5 linked regions of the Macaca mulatta genome follow. The protein of the gene in region 3 purifies or fractionates together with the protein of the main gene of each other region. This does not show direct contact. Links are inferred from orthologs where the notes say so. Each region holds a gene or a part of one and is shown on either strand. Other genes may lie near its edges. The genes, in order: SNTB2, CTNNAL1, ADRA1D, DTNA and UTRN.

What was found.
Region 1: the proteins of ADRA1D (region 3) and SNTB2 purify together in Homo sapiens (tandem affinity purification; 4 studies listed by BioGRID and IntAct, with this or other methods). This does not show direct contact. The link is inferred for Macaca mulatta from reciprocal best matches to the Homo sapiens genes ADRA1D and SNTB2.
Region 2: the proteins of ADRA1D (region 3) and CTNNAL1 purify together in Homo sapiens (tandem affinity purification; 3 studies listed by IntAct, with this or other methods). This does not show direct contact. The link is inferred for Macaca mulatta from reciprocal best matches to the Homo sapiens genes ADRA1D and CTNNAL1.
Region 4: the proteins of ADRA1D (region 3) and DTNA purify together in Homo sapiens (tandem affinity purification; 4 studies listed by BioGRID and IntAct, with this or other methods). This does not show direct contact. The link is inferred for Macaca mulatta from reciprocal best matches to the Homo sapiens genes ADRA1D and DTNA.
Region 5: the proteins of ADRA1D (region 3) and UTRN purify together in Homo sapiens (tandem affinity purification; 4 studies listed by BioGRID and IntAct, with this or other methods). This does not show direct contact. The link is inferred for Macaca mulatta from reciprocal best matches to the Homo sapiens genes ADRA1D and UTRN.

The regions. Positions count from the first base shown.
Region 1 is NC_133425.1:64,863,991-64,869,522, forward strand, and holds part of SNTB2 (beta-2-syntrophin), read left to right. Parts: intron 1-828; coding exon 829-1,042; intron 1,043-5,532. UniProt on the Homo sapiens protein: Adapter protein that binds to and probably organizes the subcellular localization of a variety of membrane proteins. May link various receptors to the actin cytoskeleton and the dystrophin glycoprotein complex.
Region 2 is NC_133420.1:49,463,120-49,468,651, forward strand, and holds the end of CTNNAL1 (alpha-catulin), read left to right. Parts: intron 1-2,946; coding exon 2,947-3,003; intron 3,004-3,147; coding exon 3,148-3,261; intron 3,262-3,926; coding exon 3,927-4,010; intron 4,011-4,146; coding exon 4,147-4,212; 3' UTR 4,213-4,400; downstream 4,401-5,532. UniProt on the Homo sapiens protein: May modulate the Rho pathway signaling by providing a scaffold for the Lbc Rho guanine nucleotide exchange factor (ARHGEF1).
Region 3 is NC_133415.1:79,801,811-79,807,915, forward strand, and holds the start of ADRA1D (alpha-1D adrenergic receptor), read left to right. Parts: upstream 1-2,197; 5' UTR 2,198-2,601; coding exon 2,602-3,712; intron 3,713-6,105. UniProt on the Homo sapiens protein: This alpha-adrenergic receptor mediates its effect through the influx of extracellular calcium.
Region 4 is NC_133423.1:57,981,952-57,988,135, reverse strand, and holds the start of DTNA (dystrobrevin alpha), read left to right. Parts: upstream 1-2,204; 5' UTR 2,205-2,518; intron 2,519-6,184. UniProt on the Homo sapiens protein: May be involved in the formation and stability of synapses as well as being involved in the clustering of nicotinic acetylcholine receptors.
Region 5 is NC_133409.1:49,741,293-49,746,824, reverse strand, and holds part of UTRN (utrophin), read right to left. Parts: intron 4,830-5,532; coding exon 4,695-4,829; intron 2,653-4,694; coding exon 2,503-2,652; intron 1,532-2,502; coding exon 1,370-1,531; intron 147-1,369; coding exon 18-146; intron 1-17.

The sequences.
Region 1 (5,532 bases), on a different chromosome or scaffold from region 3:
ATGATTTTAAGAACTGTAATGACCTGTTTACATAGCTGTCTCCCCTGCAAGGCTGGGCATTCCTTGAGGGATAGAATCCATGGCTCATTTGCCCTCGTGTCCTTACTAGCTAGCCTAATTCCCAACACTTGATAGGTAGCTAATAAAAGTTGATTGAATTGAATGGAAATAGAAATACTTGGCTTAATATGGGGAGGAGAGAGAAGAGAAAAATCTGTCTTCAGATAATTATAGAGTTCTCATGTAAAAGAGAGATTAAGTTTGTTTTATATGACTTGAGAAGACAGGGAACCAATGGGTAGAAGTATGGAGAAGTTTCTAAAGGTTGAGTCATCTAAAGCCTAGATGGGTCTGACTTTGAATCTATCTCCAGCGGATTCATGGCTCTTTAACTTACTTTTTTTCCCCCACTTTTTCTTTGTTTGTTTGTTTGTTTTTGAGGCAGAGTCTTGCTCTGTCGCCCAGACTGGAGTACAATGGCACAATCTCGGCTCACTGCAACCACTGCCTCCTGGGTTCAGGCGATTCTTCTGCCTCAGCTTCCTGAGTAGTTGGGACTACAGGCGTGTGCCACCACGCCCACCTAATTTTTTGTATTTTTGGTAGAGATGGGGTTTCACCATGTTGACCAGGCTGGCCTCGAACTCCTGACCTCAAGTGATCCACCTGTCTTGGCCTCCCAAAGTGCTGGGATTACAGGTGTGAGCTACCGCGCCCAGCCATTTCCCCCACTTTGTTATAGATATAGCATGTATGTGAATACTTTAGTTATCATTTATTATAGGAAGCAAAATTACTAACCACCTTCTTTGATTTTTTTGTTCATAGTCAAGTTCATCCGAGAAGTAACACCATATATCAAGAAGCCATCATTAGTATCAGATCTGCCGTGGGAAGGTGCAGCCCCCCAGTCACCAAGCTTTAGTGGCAGTGAGGACTCTGGTTCGCCAAAACACCAGAACAGCACCAAAGACAGGAAGATCATCCCTCTCAAAATGTGCTTTGCTGCTAGAAACCTAAGCATGCCGGATCTGGAAAACAGGTGAGGTGTACCTAACAAGATCATCATACCTACAGCTTTACAAACTTAAGGACATGTTGCAGTATTATATGACTCTGTTAACTTAATTATACAGAGGAAAACATCAGTCTAAGGTGAGAGATGCATTTTTGGGGTTCCACATTTTAAGTTATTCTACATATATACATGTATATGTGTAGAAAAAATTTTGGACAGGCACACAAGAAACAGTTAATGGCTTTACCCCTAAGGTGTCAAATAAGATTAAGGGAGAGAAAGAAAGAGGGGGCATCTTCTCTTCCTTTTATATCTTTCCATAATGTTGTTATTACTTTTTTCACTATGAATATGTATTACTTTATAATTGAAAGAATTCTTGTTAAAGAGAAATTTTTAAGTATCTCCTTAGATGGAAATTCCTTAGACTGTAGGTAGTATAGAGTTAGAGATCTGCATTATGGTTTTGGCTGAATCAACCAGCAGTGTGACTCTGGCAAGTTAGCTCCCCTTGACCTCAGTTTCCTCATTTGCAAAATGAGAAAATTAGATTGGATGATTTCTGATGTCCCTCCTAGTTCTATAATCATATGTGTTCTGTAACTTTGTCTTCATTAACTCCATGAAGTGGCACTGGTAGACCGAATGTTAAGTTAGAGATTAGGGGAAAAAATAAGATGAAAATAACTTGCCCAAAGACATAGTTAAGGACAGACTTTTTATAATGTGTTTTCACTATTATGGTCTCCTCTGATCTTAATGCACAGCCAGGTGCCTGATCAGGATGGAATGGAGCACAGAAGACACCAAGAAACTGAATTGCCTCCTTGGGTTTTTAAGGCCTCCTTGGGTATTTAAGGCTTCAAAGCTTCTGCTCTGTAGTATTTTACAAGGTTTGCTGGAATGAACTGAGCTCTGCAGTCGGATAGATCTTGGTGTGAATCCCAACTAGGTCACCTGCTCAAAGTAAGGTTCTGAGCAAGTCCCTTCACTTCTATACAACACCATATCATCATCTGTAAAAAAAGGGATAATGATACTTAGTGTGCTGATTATATGAGATGGTACCTGTAAAGGCCCTTACACAGAGCCAAGCACATACAGTAGGTTCTCAAGAAATAGTATTTTTAAAAAGTCTTAACTCTGCTGAGCACAATGGCTCACACCTGTAATCCCAGCACTTTGGGAGGCCAGGGTTAGAGAATTGCTTAAAGCTAGAATTTAAGACCAGTTTGGGCAACATAGTGAATCGCTGCCTTTACGGCATTTAAAAAAAAAATTAGCCAGACTTACTGGCGTGCACCTGTAGTCCTAGCTACTTGGGAGGCTAGGGTGGGAGGATCACTTGAACCCAAGAGTTCAAGGCTGCAGTGAGCTAGGATTTTGCCACTGCACTGTAGCCTGGGTGACAGAACAATATCCTGTCTCTTAAGAAAAGTCTTTTTTTTATTTTTATTTTTTTTTGAGACGGAGTCTCGCTGTGTCGCCCAGGATGGAGTGCAGTGGCGCGATCTCAGCTCACTGCAAGCTCCGCCTCCTGGGTTTACGCCATTCTCCTGCCTCAGCCTCCTGGGACTACAGGCGCCCGCCACCTCGCCCGGCTAGTTTTTTGTATTTTTTAGTAGAGACGGGGTTTCACCGTGTTAGCCAGGATGGTCTCGATCTTCTGACCTCGTGATCCGCCCGCCTCAGCCTCCCAAAGTGCTGGGATTACAGGCTTGAGCCACCGCGCCCGGCCAAGAAAAGTCTTAACTGACTACTATGTAAACACGTTTTGAAAATTATATTCTGATATATTTAAATTTTTGGCTTTGTTTTAAAAGTTCAAGACATTGTAGAAATTACTTTGTGCTACGTATAGGTTTATTCCTGGAAGGTTGTATGTATGTTGAATCATCTAAGTGCAACACAGCTTGATCTTTAAAGAAATTTTGTATTCTTTTCATAAAGTAATAATTTAATTTGGGCTGGGATAGGTGGCTCACGCCTGGAATCCCAGCACTTTGGGAGGCTGAGGCAGGTGGATCACTTGAGGTCAGGAGTTTAAGACCAGCCTGGCAAACATGGTGAAACCCTGTCTCCACTAAAAATACAAAACTTAGCCAGGTGTGGTGGCAGGCACCTGTAATCCCAGCTACTTGGAAGGCTGAGGCAGAAGAATTGCTTGAACCTGGGAGGCAGAAGTTGCAGTGAGCCGAGATTGCACCACTGCACTCCAGCCTGGGTGGCAGAGCAAGACTCTGTCTCAAGAACAAATAAATAAATAAATAAATAAAATAAATGAGATACATTTGAGCCAGACATGGTGGCGGCTCACACTTATCTCAGTACTTTGGGAGGCTGAGGCAGGAGAATTGCTTGAGGCCAGGAGTTTAAGACTAGCTTGGGCAATATAACAAGACCCTATCTCTACCAAAAAAAAAAAGAGAGAGAGAGAGAAAAGAGATACATTTATATAGAGCAGTTGGTCTGTTAATTATGGGCTTTTTTTTTTTTTAAGTTAGGGACCATAGAGAATTAAATAGAATAGAGAAACAATGTGATAAAGAAAAACAAATTACAACTACATTTGTCAACTAGCTGTCAGGCTGAGAAAAGTACAGAGTCAATTTTGTTATAAATCATTTCTTTTTTTTTTTTTTTTTTGAGACAGGCTTCACTCCCATCGCCCAGGCTAGAGTACAATGGCATGGTCTCAGCTCACTGCAACCTCTGCTTCCTGGGCTCAAGTAATTCCCCTGCCTCAGCCTCCCAAGTAGCTGGGACTACAGGTACATGCCACTATGCCCAGCTAATATTTGTATTTTTTGTAGAGAAAGGGTTTTGCTACATTGCCCAGAGTGGTCCCCAACTCCTAGATTCCAGCAATCCACTCACTTTGGTTTTCCAAAGTGCTGGGATTACAGGCATGAGCCACCACGCCCGGCAATAAATTATTTCTGAGAATAGGTACCTATAGTGCTGCTGATGTAGCTGGGTATTGAAGAAAAAGGCAAAATGTTATAAAATTTCTATAGAAACCCAGGGTTGTGGGAGTGGGCAAAGAAAGAAGGAAGAAGATGATATGACTTGGCTGTATTGCTAAATGTTGTGCTACTTCATCATTCACTAAGGATTGAAGTCCAGTAACCTTGGTCTTTGTTAAAACTTGGGGGCTGAATTCTCTGACATATTTATACGCTAAAGACATTTGGTGATGGTCACATGTGAAGTAGGTCTTCAGAACCAAATGGAGAGGGCAGTTTGGGGCTACCAGAGTTGTGCTATTATACCTTCCTTTTCAATAAATGATCAGTCTACTTGACCATGGCATACTATATAAGGAAAGGTCTTAGAAGATCCACGCTAGTTTTGAGATTCTCAGTCTTAATGCTTCAAAGCAACTTGTTCTAATTTTACTTAAGATATCAAAATTTGGCCGGGTGCAGTGGCTCCCACCTGTAATCCCAGCACTTTGAGAGGCCAAGGCAGGTGGATCACTTGACATCAGGAGTTTGAGACCGGCCTGGCCAACACAGTGAAACACCGTTTCTACTAAAAATACAAAAATTAGCCAGGTGTGGTGGTGCACGCCTGTAATCCCAGCTATTTGGGAGGCTGAGATAGGAGAATTGCTTGAACTCGGGAGGCAGAGGTTGCAGTGAGCCAAGATTATGGCACTGTGCAAGACTGTGTCTCAAAAAAAATTTTTTAAAAATAAAAAAATTTGCACATTATTTGCTTTTTGTAAAATATAAATTGGAAGAGATTCAAAGTTATTCCTATGATGATACCACTTATACTTGCATTTCCATGTGCTTTTTAGACATAAGAGCATTAGGATTACAAGGAGTTTGCAAAAAATATGCATAATTTCGGCTATACTTATGGGAATATGAACATCTGTGTGTCTTGGCAGAAAAAATGTACAGAACCATTAACTAATTAGACCTCAGTTATGAGAGAAGATAGAAGTTAGGAAGATAGGCTTCGTAATGTTGGTCAGGCTACTTGTTTTCCACAAGCCTTGCATTTCCCCTGTATAAAATAAGATTATAGGAGGATTAAATAAGACAGTAATTATAGAATCAGTAAGTTCTCAAGTTATTATTATAGGCATTGTTAGTGTCCTTGTGACCTTAAATAAGTTCCTTAATTTCTCTGGCCGCCTGTTTTCTCTGTCTGTAGAATGGTCGTAATATCTGCTCAACTATATACTTTAGAATGAGAATAAATAATAATCTATAAAATAACTTGGGGCAGGGGGCTCGTGACTGTAATCTCAGCACTTTGGGAGACCAAGGCAGGCAGATCACTTGAGGCCAGGAGTTTGTGACCCTGTCTCTACTAAAAATAACAAAAAATTGCCCAGGCATGGTGGCACACACCTGTAATCCCAGCTACTCAAGATGCTGAGGCATAAGAATCACTTGAACCTGGGAGGCGGAGGTTGCAGTGAGCCGAGATTGTGCCACTGCACTCCAGCCTGGACACTCCAGGTGACAGAGTAAGATTCTGTCTCAAAAAGAAATAAA
Region 2 (5,532 bases), on a different chromosome or scaffold from region 3:
ATGCTGGACTTTTTTTTTTTTTTTTTTTTCCAGTTTGGCCCAAGTCCATTCTGTCATACCGCCCTGTAGGGTTGTTCTACTACAAAAGATCCACTACTTACCTTCTTCCTATGTGAGCTTAGTCATTAAACCAGTGTCCATTGAATTGTCTCCAAACTGTGATGAACATAAAATCACATACTTCATTCAACAAATAATTATGGAACTTGTGCTATATGTCAGATCTGGGAGAAAAGAACTCTGTGGAGAAAAGTGAACAAGGCAAAGCTCCTGCCCCCATAGAGCTTATGTTCTAGTGGCAGAATACAGACAATAAAAATTTAAGCATTCAGTGCACATATGTAAGTACATGGAGATAAAATCATGTAGGACTAGAATACAGAGGTGGTAGAGGGGTGGTCAGAAAAGACCTCTCTAAGGAGCTAATGTTTGAGTAGAGACAGTAATGAAGTGAGAGAGTTGAATGGATAAATGAGGGTAGAGGATTTTAGATAGCCAAAACAAGTGCAAAGCCCTGAGGTGCAGGGTAGGGCTGGGTGTATCACAAGAGTAAGGAGGCAATTATAGATGGGAGTGAAGTGAGCCAGAAGGAAAGTGGTAAAATATGATGTCTCTGTAGGCCATGGGGAGAACTTAAAATTTTTTTTTTTTTTTTTTTTTTTTTGAGACGGAGTCTCACTCTGTTGTCAGGCTGGAGTGCAGTGGCACGATCTTGGCTCACTGCAACCTCTGCCTCCTGGGTTCAAGTGATTTTTCTGCCTCAGCCTCCCGAGTAGCTGGGACTACAGGTGTGCGCTACCACAACCAGCTAATTTTTGTATTTCAGTAGAGACGGGGCTTCACCATGTTGGCCGGGATGGTCTCCATCTCTTGACCTTGTGATTCACCCACCTCAGCCTCCCAAAGTGCTGGGATTACAGGCCTGAGCCACCACGCCCAGCCAATCCTATTATGTTTTAAGTAAGGTTTTTGGCTTGGCCAACAGAGTAAGTGGTAGTGCCATTTTCTGAGACAGGGAACACTGAGGGGGAACACTAGATTTAGAGGGTGGAAATCAAGCATTTTGTTTTGCACATGTTAAGTACAGGTCAGATAGGAAATACACTTGGCCTTCCTTATCTGCAGGTTTTGCATCTGCAGATTCAACCAACTATGGATTGAAAATATCCAAAACAGTAAAAACAGGCTGGGCACAATGGCTCACTCCTATAACCCTAGCACTTTGGGAGACCAAGCTGGGAGGATCACTTGAGTCCAGGAGTTTGAGACCAGCCTGGGCAACATAGTGAGACCTTGTCTCTACAAAAAATAATTTATAAAAACTAGCGGGGCATGGTGGCACACATCTGTAGTCCTAGCTACTCAGGAGGCTGAGGCAAGAGGATTGCTTGAGCCTGGGAGGTCGAGGCTTTAGTGAGCTGTGATCCCACCACTTCACTTCACTCTGGGCAACAGAGTGAGACCCCTGTCTCAAAAAAAAAAAAAAAAAAAAAAAAGAAGAAAACCAATAAAACATAACTACAGTTAAAAAAAAAAATACATTTTAACAAGTTAGAGTTCCAAGGGGGGAAAAACAATACAGTATAACTACGATTTACTTAGTATTTACATGAACTATAATTATAATTTAGAGATGAGATGATTTGAAGTATATGGGATGATGCGTGTAGGTTATATGCAAATACTACACTGTTTTATTTAAGGGACTGAAGCATCTACAGATTTTAGTATCCTTGGAGAGGTCTGGGAACCCATCTCCCGTGGATACTGAGGGATGGCTGTACAAGACAGATGTCAGGATAGTTCAGGAGTGCAGACAGACTTGGGAGTTATCAGCTTTCAGGTAGTTTTAAAACCATCATACTCTATGAGACAGATATGGATTTTGTCCCCAAGGGGTTTGCAGTCCAGAGGGAAAGAGAAAGTGTGCAGAATAGAAAGTGGTAACATGAAGTGATAAGGAACACTTGGGGAAGTGAATCATTTCATTTGGTTGGAATTTAGATGTAAAGTTTACTGGTTTCCCTTTTAAAGGGAAGGTTGCAAAGTACGATTTGACCTTGAGATCACTTTATCCAATGATAGCAAGGTGTTAAGCCTTTTGAATAGAGGGTAAAAACTAACTCTGGAATTATTGCCTCCTCCTTCTTAGTATTCTTTAATTTATTTCGAAGACCTATTACTTTCATTCACAAATCACTCTCAGATTTTCCCTGTTCTCTCCATTATTACTGCTGCCACCTAAAACTAAGCCTTCCTCCCTTTACTCCCCTGGCATCTCACTCCGAAATACTCTGCAAACCATCTTAACATAATATCCTAAATACTTCTATCATACCTGCCCAACCTTATTTTTCATGGTTCTTCTCCATCATCCTGTTCATCTCACTAAATTATAGAATTTATGGTACATGGTGAATAGTGAAAATTAATCTGAAAAAAAAAAAAAAAAAAAAAAAAAACCGGAACAAAACCCAACCACCTGGATTGGTTCTCTCAAATGTCTGGTTATGGATGGGTGACAAATTTTGCCTTGCCTAGATGGAAGTGGGAAGGTCCTAACCCTTTTGACCTCATGCTTGAAAATTCATCATCCTTTTATAATTGAGCATATTTGAGATGAGCTCTAGGTCCCTTGAGTAATCTAGACATAATTTGTGTGGCTGAATATCACACAACTGCGTGACCCTCCAGAATAATTGGAGGTCTGGTGTAGAGAAGCCTCTCCAGGGATGGATTCTGCATCTGGTCTGTGAAAACTCCTTCAGAAAACAGGTAAACACTTGTGCATTCCTGGTACAGGAAAAAGTTTAGGAGTTCCATGACAGACTTTTTATGTCTAGGCTTTATTTTTTAAATTCTATGTAAAAAACATTAGTAAGTGTATTTCTTACCAACTATCCATAGACATCAGTCTAAAATAGTGGTGTTTTCTCTTTCTATCAGGTTTTTGCTGCAGAGGGTTTAAAACTTACTTCCAGTGTACAAGCTTTTTCAAAACAGGTAACACATGTCTACCTGCCTGGTGCTGGTGGTGGTATTATATATACCCACTTTGGGGGTATAATATCAAGGTATAAAGGTATTTAAGGTATTAAAGATGGAGTTTTGTTGCGGGCTGTTATAACTTGCTAAATTATATTTCAGCTGAAAGACGATGACAAGCTTATGCTTCTCCTGGAAATAAACAAGCTAATTCCTCTATGCCACCAGCTCCAGACAGTAACTAAGACTTCTTTGCAGAATAAAGTATTTCTAAAGGTAAAAGAGACATTTGAAAAACGTTCACATATCTATCTTTATCTGGTTAGGGAAAGCCCCTTTTTCTTCAAATAAAGTGTTAATACCCACAGAAGGGCAATTTTATTTCCTTTTTTTCATGCCTTGTCTACAAGAATCATTTATTATCTACCCTTATAACTGACCCCAGAGAGTAGCAGATTCACCAAAGAAAGTAGTTTTTGGGACATCATTAATTCCATAGCACTGAGCAGCTACCCTTCAATTCTGAAGTCATTTCCTCTGTAACTAGGACACAGGTGCCTCCGAGTCTGGTCTCCCATAATTTGTCTGAGAGAATATGGGTTTGTGCCCACAATGCAGAGTGCAAGGAATTGCAAAGGATGAGATTTAATTCCACTATTTGGAGTGTTTTGGGAAGCCCCTAAACAGCCTGCATTAGAATGATGAATTTTCCACCCACTCTTTCTGCTGAGGTTCCATGAGATAGACATGAGATGTAGGCAGTGACCCCTGCACCTGTGTCCTGGGGCTTTAAGTCAGCTCATGTGCCTAAATCCATGTATCTTTCACAATCCCTTAGATTTCCATATGGAGAAAATTTTATCATGTTAAAACTAAATAAATGGTAAGGTCTTTTAAATACTACTTTTAGAATATCATTTGCATGCTTTTTGTCACTGTAGGTTGATAAGTGTATTACAAAGACAAGATCCATGATGGCTCTCTTAGTCCAACTTCTTTCACTTTGTTATAAACTGCTGAAGAAGGTGAGATAGCTTTTCTATTTTAGACTCATACTTTAAAAATTGGTTAAAAGGAAAATGCAAAAGAAAATAGTTACTACTTAATTTTGTAATTTTTTTTCAGAGTGAAACAGATACTAATTGTCTTAACTCTTTCCAGCTTCAGATGGAAAATAACGGATGGATCTCAGTTACAAATAAGGACAGTATGGATGGTAAAATTTGAGAGGCTTATGGGATCAGATCTCGGGAACATCATGTGATGAAGCTGACATTTTAAAAAAGCAAATGATCCTTTATGTTTTTGGATATTCATCAATTTTATAAAGAAAACAATATTGAAATTTTGCTCTATTTTCTGATCATGAAACTGTAAAGCTTTTTGACAACTAATAAATGTCATGGCAATTGCTAGATTCTAATTGTAGTGTGATTTAAAAATGGAACATTGCACTAGTGTTCTTTAAAAGTCAAACCAAATATCCCAACTGTCCAAAGGATAATTTAATCCAAAGAAGCTATTTTGAATATGTGTTCGCCTTTGGCATATTTTACCTTAACTGTTTTCTTTCTTTATCATCTAGATCACTAATTTCAGCAGCAAACATACAGTAGTCTGGGTGAACGCAGGGTTTTCCTTAAACCTGTGGACTCTTCTTCAATCCCTCTCTTTACCAAGTGTGACAAAAATCCCCTTGATGACCCTGTCCCAGATCATCCATGCGAGCAGCAAGTTTGTCCCCTAATAAGCATTTTATACAGCAAGGGTGGGTCTGCTGTGCTATGTATGTCCCTCTCCTACTCCTAAAAGCAAGGTAATGGAACTCCACAGAATCCTTGGTTCTAGTTCTAGCGTAGCTGACTGAATTATTAGCTGGGATTCTAAGCCTATCTTTTAGGCTTAAAAGATATTTTGAACTTTCTCAGTATTGATTGATGGAATGGAAGATAAAGACAGAATAAGGAAGCCAAGAAGCTATCTAAATTCTGAATATCATCATATATATATATATATATATATATATATATGGCTTTGAAATGTTCACTATAAAACAAAAACATCATTGTTTAGTTTTTTAAATTTAGGAGTTTAAAGCTTTTCTTGTTTTTGTGGGTGGGGTCATGATTGAAGGATCTGTTTTACAGGTTTTCTCCTTATAATATAGTATGGCCAACTTTGTGGTGGGCTCCAGTCATAGTATTTGTATCTTAATGCTTTGACATTCATTTTGAAATCTAACAGGGCATGCCAGTTATCAAATGGCAGTAGATAATATAAGCTCATCTGATGATCTTTATCTGGGTAAGCCACCACAATCAGTATTCACAAAAGATCTGGAAGAACCACAGTACTGTCAACTGACCACAGCTAGTCAATATTTTATTGAGGAAAATTTTCACTGTAGTCCTTCGGGAGAAAATGTGATGCATTCAGCTCTGTTAATAACCTTTGTAAAATTGTTCCTTAAACAGTCAAAATCATTAAGCATGATTTTTATTCTCTGAAACCAAAGTATTATTTTAAATTACAATAGAAATAATGGGA
Region 3 (6,105 bases):
TGAGCTTTATCCCAGCCCTCCACTGCTAAGATCTCCTTTCAGAGAGAGACAGCTCTTTCTCTTGTTGCCCCTGCCACCAGCACGTTGTGCCGGCCCCTTCCCGGATTTCAGCGTCTGATAAGCAGGTACAGGAAACTCACAACGATCTCACAACCACTGTCCTTCCATATTCATTTCCCAAGAGCTCCAGAACGTCTGGAATCATCTTGCAGAACTTCTGAGGACCACCAAGACCTGAAATGGGGAAAGACTTCCCCATCTTCTTCCAGGCATTCTATCCCACAACTCTTCCTACCCTGCTGGCAGGAACACCTCCAACCAGCCTTCTGCTGGCTCCCCACACCAGAATCAGGCACACATCTCTATGTGACACCAGTCAAGTAGTCCCCAGCACCCCAGCCCCAGCTCTAGGTTTAACTATGTCTCCTCTTCCCAGTCTTTGAAAACTGGCCAATCCCAGAATCGAATGGATTCCACCAGGGTTGCACCTATTCCACACTATGTGACAGCAGCCACCCATGGACACTGACCTGCCATCTAACTCTCCCCAGAGAGGAGCTCCTGGCCTCCTCTTTCAGTTCCCACTGTCCCTTCCCTCTCAGAGAGGAAGCCCAAACCCAAGATTTTACTTTTGGTCAGCTGCTGGCTAATCCCTAGAAGTCACGTTGCTTTCATTTCAACTCACTATAGTAAGTTTCCAAAAACCAAAATAAAAGATTTAATGGGGAAGGCCATGGAAGAGCTGTTTCCAAGATATGATTATAAAAGCTTTATCTTCCTGGACTGGGCAATGGAGAGGAGGGAGGTCACCCATCTCTCAACATTTCTCCAGTTTTTTACTTTTTCTCCAAAGCAGCTTCTCATCTAAAACTCAGACATCCTGCCCCTGTGTTAACCACAACCAGTGGACACTAGGGCTATGGGTTCTCTGTCCCCTCCCAGACACTTCTGCAAACAGGCCCTCATCTCCCTGGTAGGGCTCAAGCCCTCCTCATTCTGCAACTATGAGATGGCATTACCCTCCTTACAGTTAGTGTATCCAGCATGGTGCCTGCCATGTGCCAGCAGCTGGTATTTTTATGTTGGCTAACTGTATGATTTCTTTGAGCCTCTCCCTACCCAGTCCTGCTGCTGCTCAAGAAGCTTCTCATACCCTCTCCCACACCTGCATCCGGAGTCCATACCAGCCCCACACCTCCTCTGCCTTCCATCCTCCCTGTTAAAAGCCTGCCCTGAACAAGCCCTACTCCGCTGACATACCCAAGCACTTCTCTGGGGCCCTCACCCATATTTACTCAGTTAACCCTCAGGCCAGGAGGTAGACATCACTTCTTATTCTCATTTTACAGATGAGGAACTGTGGCACAAAGAGGTCTCACAGTTAATATGGGGCGGAGCCTGGATTCAGATGCGGAGCCAGACTGTCTCACACCCGCCCCATTTAACCATCCTGCCAAGTGCCCTTTCCCACCCTCCGGCACTTACACCCTCCCTCTTAACAAGGCCAGAACAAGAACAAGGCCCCTTATTTAGGGTAGGTAGCTACAGAAAGATTTATTCCCGCATCTGATACAGAGAAAAGTAACAGTGTATGTAGACCAGCGTGTCTTGGGCAGGGTCCGAGGGCTGTAGCCACAGCATCCTGCTCCTGAGCCCATCGTACCCAGCCTCAGCCCAGAACAGGTTTCCAACCCTTCCTGGGCGCTCTTCACGACATCGCACTGGGCAGAGGTGTCTGAAACCCTGCCCTGGCCAGTGGCCTGAGAAAAAGGAGGTGCGGCAGATCCATATGGGCAGTCCCAGGAGGCAACCCGCAGCGGCACTGCGCCGTCCGGTCCGCAGTCCCCAGATCCCAGGCGCTTGCTGCTCTCTGGCGGCCAAAGCCGGTATCCCGAAGACCCGGGACTCGCGCCTTCAACGCACCGCGCGCCCAAGGGCACCAGCGAGTGACCGAGAGACTCGGGGGAGAGGGCGGGAGAAACAGGGACGCCGCTGAGGACCAAGGGGGAGGGGGTCCGGGAGAGGAGCGGGAAGGAAAGCAAAGGGCACCGCGAGGGGAGAGGGCGGGCTTGGGCACTTGCGGACAGGCGTGGGTGGCTGCTGCGGGACCCGAGCACGCGCCAGCGCCGCAGCCCCCCTAGACCCCGACACACTCGCTTGTCCTGAGCGAAGGGTCCCTTCTCCCCTGGGGTGTGGCGCCCCTCTCTCGGCCCGGGTCGCCCCCTCCTCCTTCCTGGCGCTGCCCCTCCTCGGTCCCGCCCCCCGCGCCGAGTTGGGAGCGCCGCAGTGGCCGCTGCCTGCACCGCCCGGCCCCGGAGCCGCCGCTTTGCCCGCTTGCTGGGCACGATCAGAGCGCCGCGCGCGTCGCCAGCCCCGGCTCTTCGGTGCTAGTCCACTGCCGGCCTCGGGGAGCCCGGCCGCCGCCCGGGCCAGGCAGCTCCGCTCTCGGACAGCCGCGCTCCGCGTCACAGGAACTTAGGCAGGACCCCAACAAGACCGTGCGGAGCTGCATCTGGAGCCCCGCGGCTATGCCCTGTGCTTCCCTCCCTGCCGGCCGCTCGTTCTGCGTCCCGGCCCGGCCACCGACGGCCGCGCGTTGAGATGACTTTCCGCGATCTCCTGAGCGTCAGTTTCGAGGGACCCCGCCCGGACAGCAGCGCAGGGGGCTCCAGCGCGGGCGGCGGCGGGGGCAGCGCGGGCGGCGCGGCCCCCTCGGAGGGCCCGGCGGTGGGCGGCGTGCCGGGGGGCGCGGGCGGCGGTGGCGGCGTGGTTGGCGCAGGCAGCGGCGAGGACAACCGGAGCTCCGCGGGGGAGCCGGGGAGCGCTGGCCCGGGCAGCGACGTGAATGGCACGGCGGCCGTCGGGGGACTGGTGGTGAGCGCGCAGGGCGTGGGTGTGGGCGTCTTCCTGGCAGCCTTCATCCTTATGGCCGTGGCAGGTAACTTGCTTGTCATCCTCTCAGTGGCCTGCAACCGACACCTGCAGACTGTCACCAACTATTTCATCGTGAACCTGGCCGTGGCCGACCTGCTGCTGAGTGCCACGGTACTGCCCTTCTCGGCCACCATGGAGGTTCTGGGCTTCTGGGCCTTTGGCCGGGCCTTCTGCGACGTGTGGGCCGCCGTGGACGTGCTGTGCTGCACGGCCTCCATCCTCAGCCTCTGCACCATCTCCGTGGACCGGTACGTGGGCGTGCGCCACTCACTCAAGTACCCAGCCATCATGACCGAGCGCAAGGCGGCCGCCATCCTGGCACTGCTTTGGGTCGTAGCCCTGGTGGTGTCCGTAGGGCCCTTGCTGGGCTGGAAGGAGCCCGTGCCCCCTGACGAGCGCTTTTGCGGTATCACCGAGGAGGCGGGCTACGCTGTCTTCTCCTCTGTGTGCTCCTTCTACCTGCCCATGGCGGTCATCGTGGTCATGTATTGCCGCGTGTACGTGGTCGCGCGCAGCACCACGCGCAGCCTCGAGGCGGGCGTCAAGCGCGAGCGAGGCAAGGCCTCCGAGGTGGTGCTGCGCATCCACTGTCGTGGCGCGGCCACGGGCGCCGACGGGGCGCACGGCCTGCGCAGCGCCAAGGGCCACACCTTCCGCAGCTCGCTCTCCGTGCGCCTGCTCAAGTTCTCCCGTGAGAAGAAAGCGGCCAAGACGCTGGCCATCGTCGTGGGCGTCTTCGTGCTCTGCTGGTTCCCTTTCTTCTTTGTCCTGCCGCTCGGTGAGTGACCCCTCTCCCACCGGCCCCTCCTGTTCTCCCTGAGCCTATGGCGGTGTCCTCGTGGCACCCAGACTTGGGCGACCCCCACCTGAACCTGGAAAGTTGGCTTAGCAAGTCCTGAGTCTCCTAAGAGGCAGGTGTGCATGCACCATTTTGTGGAGTGCCAAAGAGAGGGTCTTCATCCTCGCCAGGTTTGTTTCACAGGCTTCTAACTTTTCTGTCCTTCCCTTCTTCTCTTCCAAGCCTTGGGCTTATGCTGCTGGCCCCTCTAAAAATAAAACGTCTGTGAAAATCTGGGCAGGCATCTGCCCATATGTGGTCGGCAGTGTGTGTGTCCCCCTACAGATCCCCCTCCCTGGAGGTGGGTGCACAGAGTGGGTGGGCCTCCATGTGTTCATTCACGGGCAGCGAGCCCTGGCCAGTCAACAGGTACGTTAGCAGATGCCAGAAGCCACCCGCTTTTCCCCAGCACTCATTCAGTTTGGAAGCTGGCCCCATTTTGAGACCCTCCCCAGCTGTGTTTTTGAGTGCCCTGGGCTCTCATTTCTGAAATCCCCTCTTGGAAAGGAAGGAGGTTGTGTAGCGATGAGAAGCACAGGGATAGGGATAAATTATCAAACGGAAAGTTCATATTGTTAATCGTTATTTCTTGAGCTTACTGAGTCCTTGAGCTCTTCCGGGGAACTTTCCTGCTTCTTTCACAAGCTGCCCTGCAGTCCTGGGAGGTGGGCAGCTGTTTTCAGAGGCCGCCTTCTACCCCTTGAGGCCTCTCTTGGAAGCCCCGGGTCTGGGACTGGAGGCTGGACCAGTGCAAGGAGTAGAGGGGGAAGAGCATCTCTGGGGACAAATTTGCCGGGAGTCAGATCCACCCATGGCTGCAACCTCCGCAGGCCCAAGCTGGGCCTTCTCTGCCTTTCCCAGGCCTGGACCCTTCCACACTGCCAGGCTGAGTCAGGAAAGAGACAATGGCCTCCTTCCTGTGCCCCCGAAAGCCCTTTCCACACTGCAGCCACAGTGAACTTTATATATTATAAATTAGATGTGTCACTCTCCTATTAAAAGCCCTCAGTGCTTTCCCACTGTCCTGAGAACAAAATCCAAACTCTCTATCATCACCTATGAGAGGGTGACCTTCAAATGCATTGTTGTCCAAACCAAAATAGGACACTATGAATATTTACACCGGGACCACAGGCTAGAACTGGAGCCATGCAGACATGTGGTCCCCCTTCCTACAATGGAGATCTCAAATGAGAGCTGTCTCCCTCTCTGCCCTCTCCCCCTCTGCCCTCACGGCCTTGCCGCTTCCCTCTGCTCTGGGTTCCTCCCCTCTGACCCTTCCCGGGTTTCTTGCCGGAGCCCATGCCTGTCCTCAGGCCTTTGCACTTGCTGTTCTCTCTGTCTTCACTGCCCTTCCCAATCCCTCCTGGCCAACTCTATCCTTTAGGTCTTAAATGTTCCCTCTTCAGAGGGACCTTCTTGGACCCTTGACCCTCAGTCGTGTCCTTGTTTTCTCCCTTGAAGCACAAGGTTCTCTTCCTTCACTAGATCATCGGTCGTAATTACATCTGTGTGCTGCTTGGTGTGTTTCTGGAACTGGCCCAGAAGCTGTGTGAGGGCAGGGCGGTGTCACCTGGGTCATCACTGAGTCCACGGCACTCAGCACGGTGCCTGGTATGTGGGGAGCAATAGAGAGCACTGCAGTGGGGACTACAGGCTCTGGCGCCAATCCCAGCTCTGCCTCTCTCCTGCTAGCTGTGTAACCATGGGCAAATCCCTTAACCCCTCTCTGCTTGCTTTTTTATCTATAAAATAGAGAAGAGGTGATGGTAATAATGCCTATCTATAGGGCCATCGTGGAAATGTAGCTTTTGTAGTGGATACTCAATACGGGGTAAGAAATGAATAAGTAACCCTTGAAAATCAGCCAGCCAAAGGTTGTTGCAGGGATGGGGCAAGCAGCTGAACCTAAGCAACACACTAGGAGAAGGAGGTAAGTAAGCAGGGAGGAAAAAGTTGGTGCCCACCCCTTTAGACACCCAAGCCCATCCCCCAGGCCCATCGCCCCAACCCCTGCTCCAGCCTTGCCCAGCTGTGCTGGGCTCCTGGGTACCCTCATTCAACCCCTGCCCCTTGGTTCACACTGGGCCCCTGTAGGGAATGCCCGACCTGTGTAGAATGCCAGCTCCCTGTTTTTTTTTCCTTTTAACTTCCTTTAAAATTTTAGTTTAATGCACAAATAAGGAGAAAACAATAACGCAAGAATCCACATACCTGTAATCACGTATATTGAACAGATGTTAACGTTTTGCCATATTTGCCTTAGACCCCTTCCTCTCTCTTTTCAAATAAATAGAACAAGCCATAACTAGATCCCCTCCTCCTGTCCCTTC
Region 4 (6,184 bases), on a different chromosome or scaffold from region 3:
ATTACATTATACTAATAAGTCTAGTTATTTCTTTTAGTGGATCCTATACTTTTTTAAAAATTGAGATCTTTCAGTACATCCTCTGCAGAACCGACACCTGGTGTCATTGCCATCAAATTCCTGTAAGTTTGTTTAAGAAAGAAAAAATTCAGTAAGAAAGTCCACAATTTCCTGAATTTGTTTTCCATGCACCAAAATTTGGAAAATTTTAGCTTTCACATGAAAGTTGATCCTCTTTTTCTTCTCCTTTTGTTTCCTTCTCTTCTTTACTTTCTTATCTTGTAACTTCATTCCCCCTCCTTTTCCCCCCTCTTGACTCCTTTCTCTTCTGCCTTTTCTCTGACCATTCTCTCTTTCATACTATTTGTTTTCTTTTTGGGTTATTAGAAGGCTAGTTAGCTGCTCGAATTTCTTATCTACACTGAAAAGAAGCTACCCAAGAGTGTTCTTTCTGAGAACTTTTACAATATAAATCATTCCCCATTTACTGTTTATGTGAGTATGGTGAAAGTGTAAGAGAAGGGCAAGGTTACACATAATTACGTTGGCCATTTAGAAGGTAGGAGGGTTAATGACAAGACTGAAATATAGGGCACATAGGCAAATGAGATGATTTTAACATGGAAGAGAAATTAAGTAAAAAGAAAATAAAAGTATCTTGTGCTTTCTTTGTGATAATTCACAACACCAAAATAACAAAGATTTTTATCTGCAGTCATTCAGTATATGTATCTTGTCTCAACAACTAGATGTAAACTAAAAAGTACTTGTATTAAACTTCTTTATGTCCTTCAAAATGTAGCATAGCTCTTCATATACACCAGGTGAAAAGGGTTTCAATGACATATACAAATTATGAAATTGGTGACTACTTCAGAAACATTGGCTCAATTTGCTAGAAATTACTATCTAAGCATTTAAACAATGCAACTGGATATAAATGTACGCATACACATGCATACACACAACACATTCCCCCAAAAAGAAATAAAATTATATGAAAACGTGAAATTGGAAATACAATACTAGAGAAAATTATATGAAAACATACATATAGTAAGAAAAAATAATTTTCAGTCTCGGTAACTTAAAAATAATCAACAATGTTTTCATTATTTTCAGTAACCTAAGTATCTGAGAATTGATTACAGTGAAAAAGCAACCTGTGAGTAGCTGTGCAATTAATATTTATAGTGAGATATTGACTTATTATGTGTACTTGGGTAGGTCATGTTATCTTACTTATGCTTCTGTGTCTCTGAAGTGACAATACTATTTGCCTTTTCATCTACCTCCTCTGCAAAGATGCTCTGCAAATAAATGAGGTAATGTTTGGGGAATGTTTGCAGCTTGGGAAAGAAACCCACTGCATACATCTAAGAATATTCCATATTCAAGCCTGGTATATTTTGCCTCTGTTTTAAATTGAAATTGTACTGTTTAAGTTCTTGGGTTCTGACCAAAATCTGGGTCAACATAAGATAATAATTATTTTTAATTTTAATTCTGAGTCTCTGTTCCCATCTCCTGCACGTGTGAGGGAAAACTGGAGGAAATAAAGCACATAAATCAAGCTTTGGAAGAGAAAAATCTCTATCTGGAAGGATTTCTTTTTTTTCTTTTTCTTTTTTTTTTTTTTTTTCAATGATGAGCGTGCCCACTATTTCCCTAGAGGAATATTTCGGTCCAGGAAGGAGGATAGTGCATTCAGTGTGAGAGTGTGTGTGTGTGTGTGTGTGCTGTGCGTGCGCGCCCGCGGAGAGAGGGGCGGGGGAGGCGGATGAGGAGGATGAGATCATAGTTTCAGGATCCTCAGGAAACCCTGGTACTGGCAGCAGCCAGCCTCTGCTGTGCCCACATGACCCACAACTCTGGCAGCGGACCCGGCACTTCCAACATTATTAAATAATAAGAAAGCGGCTCCTACTCCAGGCTCAAACCTCCCTGCAGACCAATGGACGCCTTCTAAGAGTTTGGTGAGTCGGTGACTGAAGCGCCCGTCCATTCCAAGGTGTGTGCAAGGCGTTTTCTTCCTTGACAGCTCCAGAGTGGGGGAGGGCGCGGGGGTGGAGGAGGTCCGTGTGCCGGGCGAGGAGTGGGCGCGAGGCCGGGCTGCCGCGCTGCCCACGGCCGCCCGGTGCAGCGGGGCCCGCCGCGGGGCGGGAGGTGCACATGACGCGCAGCCCCGAATGCGCAGGGACCGCAGCCGCCCACGGCGCCGGGGCGCGGGCAAAGGCGGCTCGGCGCTGGAGCAAGGGCAGGCGCCGCACACCGACCAAAGTCAAGAGTGGAAGCGGGCGGAGAGCGCCGGCGGGGGCAGGGATTCGCCTCAACGCCCACTCGCGGGGTTCCCACCTGTGCGCCGGCGCCGGCCGCGGCTAGCGCGAAGCATGTGCCGGGCGCCGCAGCCAGGACTGCGGCGCGGCGCCTCCCCGGGCGGCGGGCGGCGCCTCGGGCCCGCGGGGCGGCGGTAGCGGCTGCTGCAGGATGTCCGGCCTGGGGGCGCGGGGCCGCGCAGGTAAATCTCCGCCGCCCTCGAAGGCCCCCGCAGCGCCGCAGCCCCCGCTGCTGCCGCGGCGCCGCTCGGGGGGTGGCGATGGCAGCTGGCTCCCTCGCGTCGCGGGTTGAGTTGTTTTTGTTGTGGTCGCTGCCCTCTTGGTCATCCTCGCGTGCTGAGCTGGTGGGAGGTGGCGTGTCTACCTCCATTAGGGATGATACTCACGTCGGGGAACAGTCTGAGGGGTATTGACCGGGACATCCGCGATGGTTTCCTTTGCAGCCAGCGGCGTCCTCTCGTGTTGCAATGCACTGCGGTGCCCGGGCCGATGCCAGAGTGGGAGTGGGCTCTGGGCCCTGGGGACGGGGGGCGGCGGGGACGGGTGGGGACGGGGGTGAGTGTCTTCGGCGTTTATAGCCTGTTGCCCACTTCGAAGTTTTCTGCTGGACAGAGGGCAGGCGGGAGGTTCCTTCTGTTATCCGGAGTGGGAGGTGGAGAGAGGTGTCTGTCAAAAGACCAAAGCCAAAGAGAGAAGGGGGTGGCGACCCCGGGGCTGGGAATCAGTGGTACCACTCCTGGGACTTGATGGTAAAACTTTGCTCTTTGGCAGGCTTAGGGTATGACTTTGGGAAGATAACTGTAGAACTTGGCAGGGAGGGGGCAGAGGGAGGCGCAGATATTGGATGTACCTTGCAGTGAAGCTTACCATGCTTTAGGTTCTTACTCTAAAAATTGTCTTTTAAGTTGATGCTTATGTTTTCCTGTTATATGTCATCACTTGGCATTTAATGTGCTTGTGTTTCCTTTCTAATCTAAGAGATACTTGTACTGTTGAAGTGTACAGTTACTGATTTCTTTAAAAAAATAATGGTTTTTTTTCTTTTGCTTATTCCAAAGGTGGAAACTTTAGGAAAAAAGTGTTCCACATGTTCCACGGTTCTATATGGTTTAGATTGATTCACCGTCTTAATTCTTAGACCACCAGGGGGGTAGATAATATTAATAAACAACTTTTGCAGGTGAGAAAATCCAGGCACAGAGAGGCAAAATAACTTACCCAAGGTCATACATTTATTAAGTGTTAGAGTCTAGTTGGACTTTTCATGCGCCCCTAATCAACTCATTATACCTAAAGTCTTCTATATTGACCACATCTTTCTATGAAGATGAGCCTTAATAGGTATGTGCTGCATGTTCAGAATAATTAACTCTTTTTCCACTTTTTCTTCTTATTCTAACTTTCAATACTAAAATTATGGCAAATAATGTTTGAGTAGTTTCCTTTCACCACAATTAACCAAGTGTCCTACAATAATTAAAGTTGCATGTCCTACAGTGACTAAAGTTGCATTTCACAACAAAGTTGAGATTTTCAGCAGGTAAGATGTATCAACAAGGTAAATTATTGTAAAGCAGATGGCTAAAGCTATGTGTTTGCAATTAATTTTAAATTTCCTAGGTTATTAGTCGGTTCTTTGTTCAGATCATGGCCATCGTTTTCTTCAGAACACCACCATCTTGCAGATTTTTGAGCAAGTTTAGTTGTATTTAATCCACTCACTCTGGCGAGAGTTGGGCAGTTTTAAAAGAATTATGCAATTCTCTTTGGACTATCAGTGATTAGAAGCAAGCTGTATTTTAAGGGCATTCGAGTTTGTCATGTCATTTAGCCAATTGTATGTACTTTATACTGAATTGTGTAGCAGTGAAGACTGAAATCAGATTTTCTCATTAGTTCTAAGTTGAAATACTTTTAAAATCTCCACTTGTTTTAAATGAACCATGATGTGAAGAAAGGTCTCAATGGGGTGAGCTCCAACTTACATGGAGAATTACTCTCACATATTTAGAGAATTACTCTTCATTTGAGCTTATCATAGAGCTTTCACAATATTCATTTTATTGGGCAGATGTCTCTTAAGTCTTCATCTGTTATTTTTTTTCAAGTAAACTTTAATTGCTTCTTCACATAACGAGTTTCAAAATTATTTTGACATTCATAGATTTCCTTTAATTCTCATCTTTCACTTTAATTAAATTCAATATATATAATTTCAAACTCACACTTACTCAACATTATAAGTAAAAAGAGACTAGAATCCAACTAAACGGCATGGAAACATGATCTGTGGATACGAGAAAAAATATTCAGCTCTTCAGTGGTTAACCATCCCCTCCCCGAAACACACACACACACACACACACACACACACACACACACCCCAGAAATATGGCTACATCTTTATTTTGGGATGCTACAGTGCAGTCCTGTGGTCAGAGTGCTTGTATGCCATCAGTCACAAGTATTTTTGATATTGAAATTGAATTGATTTTTCCAAGTCCATTTATATATAGTGTTGATTGTTATCAAGACAAATTCTGTGATACATACATATATCCTTTCTTAACTCAGCGTTCCAGTTTTCTAGCTTCTGTTACTTATTTTAGAGACAGCTTGCTACTTTTATCTCACTTGGTAGTTTTGACATGACCTTTTCCTTTCAAGTCCCACACCTCTAGTTTGAAAGAACTGTACTGTCTCTGCTTCTACAGAGCCTCTTTTCTCCAGGTGTGAGGTGCAAGAGTGGGGTTCAATAGTGAGCAGAAAGATCTGTGAGCCCTGACTGCACAGGGGGACAAGCTTTAATAAAATAATTATACCAATAAATTATTACTTGTAAGTTGAGGTAGGTTTCCTGAATGAAAGAAGGAGTTCTATGAGAATATCTATTAAAGGATTCTGGACTAGACATGGAGGTCAGGACAAGGTGCCTGAAAAGTCACATATTTGTGTGGGAATGACACGTGAGAAGGTGTGTACTAATTCCAGTAATCTTTTACTAAATGCTTGCATGTTAATTTTCTGAATTATGTTCTGAATCAGAGATATGTGTCACTCTAGTTGTCTCTTTACTTCTGTATTCACCAGGAGACATACTGTTTCACCTCATTATCCATCCGTGGACATGGGGGGAGGGTTTACAAAACTATCAGTACTTTTTTCAAAGCACACGGGGCATGTGCTAGCTTTATGTGGTTACTCACCTATTTGCAAAGAGTGATTTAGGTTTAATGTAATATAGTCATTTTCTTTCTTTTCCTTGGCAACTACTTTCAAACTAAAAGAAGTAGTTCTGTGTAGTTTGGGAGGTTTGTTGTTGTTGTTTTTGTTAAAGTGCCAGGATGTCTCAAAATAGAACTTTAATTGGTTTATCACACAGTCACTGACATTCTCTCAACTACCCAAAAGAAGAGAGGAGGCTCCATAGTGATGGAGATGATATTGAGTGCTGAAGATGCTGGAGAAATTCATATTAATGAGTTCAAGCAAACATAGGAGTGACTAAATTTATTGAACACTTACTATGTACTGAGCGTCATTCTGTGGTCTCTATATAAATTATGTGATATATTCTTTACAAAAGCCATATGAGGCTTGCATATCATTATCTCAATTTTATAGAAGGGAAAACTGAAGCACAAGGAGGAGAGTAACCCTGACCACTGTCACATAGTTTGAGATGGTCTTTAAAACAAAGCATTCTGATTCTGTATTTCATACTATTAAATATTGATATATAATACCTGGCTCAGAATCTTACTGCTGAATTAAATTTCCATTGCTGTTGAAAATCATAACACTACCTAATCTGATATTTTGATTGTTTTTTTTAAAAAAAGCAGTGG
Region 5 (5,532 bases), on a different chromosome or scaffold from region 3:
CTCCTGGCCCTCTTTACCTGTAGCACATCCATCTGACTTCCTCCTCTGGCAGTCCTACTCTCTGGGGAGGTCGGGGGCTGAGAACGCATATTTCTTCTCAACTCCTCTAGGGTTAGCTCGTGGGCTGAGATCTCTGCTTGGATTTTCTACAAAGAGATTGGAAAGGGGAGAGGATGTCCTTTTGTTTTCTTAAGTATAAAAGGAGACAATACAAAAGTTCTATATCGTTGTATTATACATGATATTGTATTTTACATAATGTTGACCTCCACAGAAGCTTTAATAAGTTTTTGTAGTCCGGGAGCGGTGGCTCACGCCTGTAATCCCAGCACTTTGGGAGGCCAAGGTGGGTGGATCACGAGGTCAGGAGTTCAAGACCAGCCTGGCCAAGATGGTGAAACCCCATCTCTACTAAAAATATAAAAATTAGCCAAGTGCAGTGGCAGGCGCCTGTAATCCCAGCTCCTCAGGAGGCTGAGGCAGGAGAATCACTTGAACCCGTGGGGCAGAGTTTGCGGTGAGCTGAGATCATGCCACTGCACTCCAGCCTGGGTGACAGAGTGAGAATCCGTCTAAATAATAATAATAATAAGTTTTTGCATAATAATAATATGGCCCACTGCATGGTATGAATATTGTACGTGACGCCCATGCTAAGGTCTTTGCATTTGTCGTTTCTAATGTTCACAACTTATTTATAAGGAAGGAATTGTCCCAACTTCACAGCTAAGAAAACTACAATTTAAAATATACAGGACTTTTCAGCCAGGCACAGTGGCTCACACCTATAATCCCAGTATTTTGGGAGGCCGAGGAAGGCGGATCACCTGAGGTCAGGAGTTTGAGACTAGCCCGGCCAATATGGCAAAACCCTGTCTCTACTAAAAATACAAAAATTATTGGGAGGCCAAGGCAGGCACATCACTTGAGGTCAGGAGTTCAAGACCAGCCTGGCCAATATGGCGAAACCCCATCTCTACTAAAAATACAAAAAATTAGCCAGGCCTGGTGGCACACACTTGTAGTCCCAGTTATTTGGGAGGCTGAGGCAGGAGAATCACTTGAACCCAGGAGGCAGAGGTTGCAGGGAGCCAAGATCGTGCCACTGCACTCCAGCCTGGGTGACATAGTGAGACTCTGTCTCAAATAAATAAATAAATACATTTAATTTAATTTAATATATAGGACTTTTGCCAGAGTCTCACACAGAAAGCAAGAGAACTCCAAAACCCAAATGCTGCCCTGTAAGTAAGTCAATCTTTCCCATTGACTCTCGGTTTTGGATGGCAGGAGGGGTTTTCTTATGGTTGAGGAGGCAACTACATAAGCTCTCTTTACAGCTCAGAAGCCCTCAAATACATGGCAATACCTGAGCTTCCTGTGGAACTTGGAAAGCATCTACCCTGTCAGTCAGGTACGTGGTGAGCTGTTTGTCCAGCTCCCCCAAGCTCTCTTGCAAGACTTGAAGCATCTGGTCAGTTTCCCGCAGGACCTGGAGTTGCTTTTCCAAAGAAATCTGCTTGCTCTCTGCCTGCACAGAGGAGAAATTGAATCATTAGTTGCCCAACACAAATATAAATAGCAGAATATATATATTCTGGCCATTAAGAAAAGACTAGAAAAGCTTTCCTCCAAGACTTTAGCCTTCTTTATAAATAAATAATAATTACTAATGATAACAGTGAAAATGTCCCACTAGGATCTTATGTACCATGCAGCTGAATTACTAATTATTACTTCTTTCTATATACAATGTCGAAATACAAAAATGTAAAGGTTTCCCAAAAGATGCATTAAACAGAAGATAAAAATTTGCTATTTATTATAATTTTAAAGCATTTTTAGGAATCAGCCAATGTCTGCCAATAAGAATATAAAACATAAGAAAAATGTCTATTAATACATAAACATCAGAGTCTCTTTTTTTCCAAAGCCTAAAACAAATTCTATAGGTGTATATACATATCAAACTACTATTTACTGCACTTTTGGTTTAAGCTTGATGTTATTCATGGGCTGAACATCAACAGTTATTATTTAATGTGTTTGGAAGTACCTAATATTCATACCCAACCTTCCTATAAAAGAAGTGCTCTTTCTCTAATTCGTGATACAAATATGTATGTTACAACCTAGATATGAACTAAGAGACTATGGCTTTGCAGCTTATGTCAAATATCATGGCACTAATATTTACTAGGATAGTATGAGTTGTTGTTCTTAGATACAGCTATCATATGATCCTTAATGAAAATTAAATATTTTTCAAGTAGGAAATCATCTCAAAAATAATTTTTTTAATCATCAAATTCTGCCTTAGAGTGTTAGATCTATTCTTCCCTAGTGAGTACTTCAATACCCTCAATGCCCCTGTGAGCACTGGTTACCAACTTTAACCAACATTAAAGATTTTCCCAACATTAAAGCTCTGTGATATAGAGCTTAGGGCCAGCTCCACTTCATCAATACCTAATCAACACCCATGCACATCCCAACTCTCACCAGGTGACTTAGATCTTCATATCGGCTGTTGAAAGCCTCCAGTTTCTCACTGATTATATCATCCAGGATCCCCCCATCGATCAGAGTCTGGCCAAGTTCTCGAATCTGAGTGCGATTATCTGCCGGGTGGCGCAGAACAGATTCCAGAGACTGGAATGGAGATGGGGAAAAAAAATAATAATGCATTTACTAAGGCAAAAGGTATCAAGGATCCTCAAAATGTCTATTTGTTAAACAAGTAATTCTATTTTCTAAAAATCTACCTAAGGAACAGAACCAAAAATTAAGAAAATTACTAATTCACAAAAAATACCCATCCCAGTATTAAAAAATGCATAAAAATGAGCAATTAGCACACGTGATATATAATAATATAATTTCACAAAAATAATTTCAACTATTATTAATTATGGGAGGGTAAGACAGGAGGATCACTTGAGCCCAGGAGTTCAAGGTTGCAGTGAGCTATCATACCACTGGAATCCAGCCTCGGCAACAGAGCGAGACCACGTCTCTAAACAATAAATAAGTGAATAATAAAAAGTTAAAAATAATTATTAATTATACGAGGAAATGTTTACAATCTGAAACAAAGTTTAAAGGTGGAGACAGTACTATGCAAACAAAATTAGCTCAACTTTTATTAATTACGTTACTAAAAATAAGTACTCATTTTTCTACAATATACGCAGAATAAGAGGCATTGTTTTATATAAACACTTTTTATATACATAAATCTAATTAACCATATGGGCTAAATAGCATTCCCAGTTTACAGATGGGAAAACTGAAGCTCAGAAAGGTTAAATAACTTGCCTACATACATGCAGTCAAAAGAAGAGGAAAGATACCAACATGGCTCTAAAGCCTTTAAGACCCCAAAGCCTGGCCAAGCGCGATGGCTCACACCTCTAATCCTAGCACTTTGGGAGGCCGAGGAGGGTGGATCACTTGAGGTCAGGAGTTTGAGAACAGCTTGGCCAACATGGTAAAACCCCATCTCTACTAAAAATACAAAATTAGCTGGGGTGGTGGCACACGCCTGTGATCCCAGCTACTCGGGAGGCTGAGGCACGAGAATTGCTTGAACTCAGGAGGCGGAGGTTGCAGTGAGCCGAAATCACACAATTGCACTCTAGCCTGGTCAACATAGGGAGATTCTGTCTCAAATAAAAAATAAATAAGTAAATAAAAGATCCCAAAGCCTTTGATCCAATATACTACCATCTAGTATGCATATATAAAAGACAGTAGTTAGGAAGAAATCTACAAACCATTTTAAAATGTTTATCTTAGAGTTTTGCTTTACACTTTTCTTTATTTTCCATATTTCTAGCATGTACATGTATTCACTCTTACATTAGGAAAAAAAATTAAGCTTTTCATATTTTTCATTCACTCTGTCTCTCACTCTGCTATATTTGAGAAGTGACATCTTTTCTCTAGCAGAGCATCCATCTCCTGGAATGTAAGTGCCACATTTTACTCATTTCTGACCTTCAATCCATTTGTCCACTCAGTTCCCACATGGTACCAAGACATTTTTAAAAGCATATCTACCCCTTCCCCTTTTATTTTTTGTTAAGCAGACCCACCCCCTTTGTATTGTATTTCATTTAAGAAATGGTTATTAAATTAGCATGTGCTACACACTGTGGTGGGAACAGAAGAATAACAAGGTATCGGGTACATTTCCTGTCCTCAATGAGTTCAAAGTCCAGGCTTGAAGATAAGCTCCTACGACAAGATCCCATGCCTCAACCACTGTCTTTTAACTTCTAACATCTGAAGGTAAGAGACAGGAAGCCCCTGTAAACCGTCAGTGCTGTGTTTAGTGAGTAAAAATAACTTGTTGACAAAACAAGAGAGCAGTTGTCCTAATAACATATGGCAGAGCTTTGTCCAGGGCCTAGTAAAATAAACTGGAAAACCACTAGAGTGCTTCAACATGTCTAAAATTTACAAATTGTGAAACAGCTAACCACATCTTGAGGCTGATATAGTGGGTCACCAATAATCTAAATACATATGATTGTATAAACACTTCAGGCTACGAAAGAAAATGCAAGTGACATTGAAAATGACTGAGGAAGCAAATGCATTTGCCTGCGTAAAGCATTACATTCCTCATTGTAAACACGTGTGGCCTCATCACAACAAAGAGAAATGCCATGGAGACTGTGGGTTCCAACCTCCAGGGCTTCGTTGACAGCATCCGTCTTCTCAGGCAGGACCTCTGTGCTCTTCATCCGCTCTTCCAAAGTGTTTAACCAGGTGGTTTCAAGATCCAAATAGTGAAGCAGTTCAATCCAACAAGACCAGACCTCCTAAAGCATGAAAAAGTTTAAATTAGACAAAAAGCCATTTCATATATCGTGTATCTAGTGCTACACATTCTCTTTAATCACTAATAATTTCATCTGAATGTGAGTATATCTAGGAATTCAAAAACTGATGGAGTTGAAACTTCAAAAATAAAATAAAATAATCCAAAAAAAATCATATTAGACCAATTGGTGAGGGGTGTGGAGCAAAGAGTGGGCAAGAGGCTGCCTCACTCTTTAAAATAAATTCCATGATCTGATTTAAATGTCAAAAATACAACTATATAGTTAGTAGGAAAAACAAGAGAGAAACATTATTTAGTTTGTTTTTTAAAGGCGAAGTTCACACCTGTAATCCCAGCATTTTGGGAGGCCAAGGCAGGTGGATCACCTGAGGTCAGGAGTTCAAGACTAGCCTGGCCAACATGGTGAAACCCCATCTCTACTAAAAATACAAAAATTAGCCGGGTGTGGTGGCAGGCACCTGTAATCCCAGCTACTCAGGAGGCTGAGGCAGGAGAATCGCTTGAACCTGGGAGGTGGAGGTTACAGTGAGCCCAGGCCACACCACTGCCCTCCAGCCTGGGCAACAAGAGTGAAACTCTGTCTCAAAAAAAAAAAAAAAAAAAAAATTGTTTTTTGAACAAAAGAAAAATATTACTCACAATTGTAAATTTTAAAAAAATTATCTCATAGAAAATTGAAA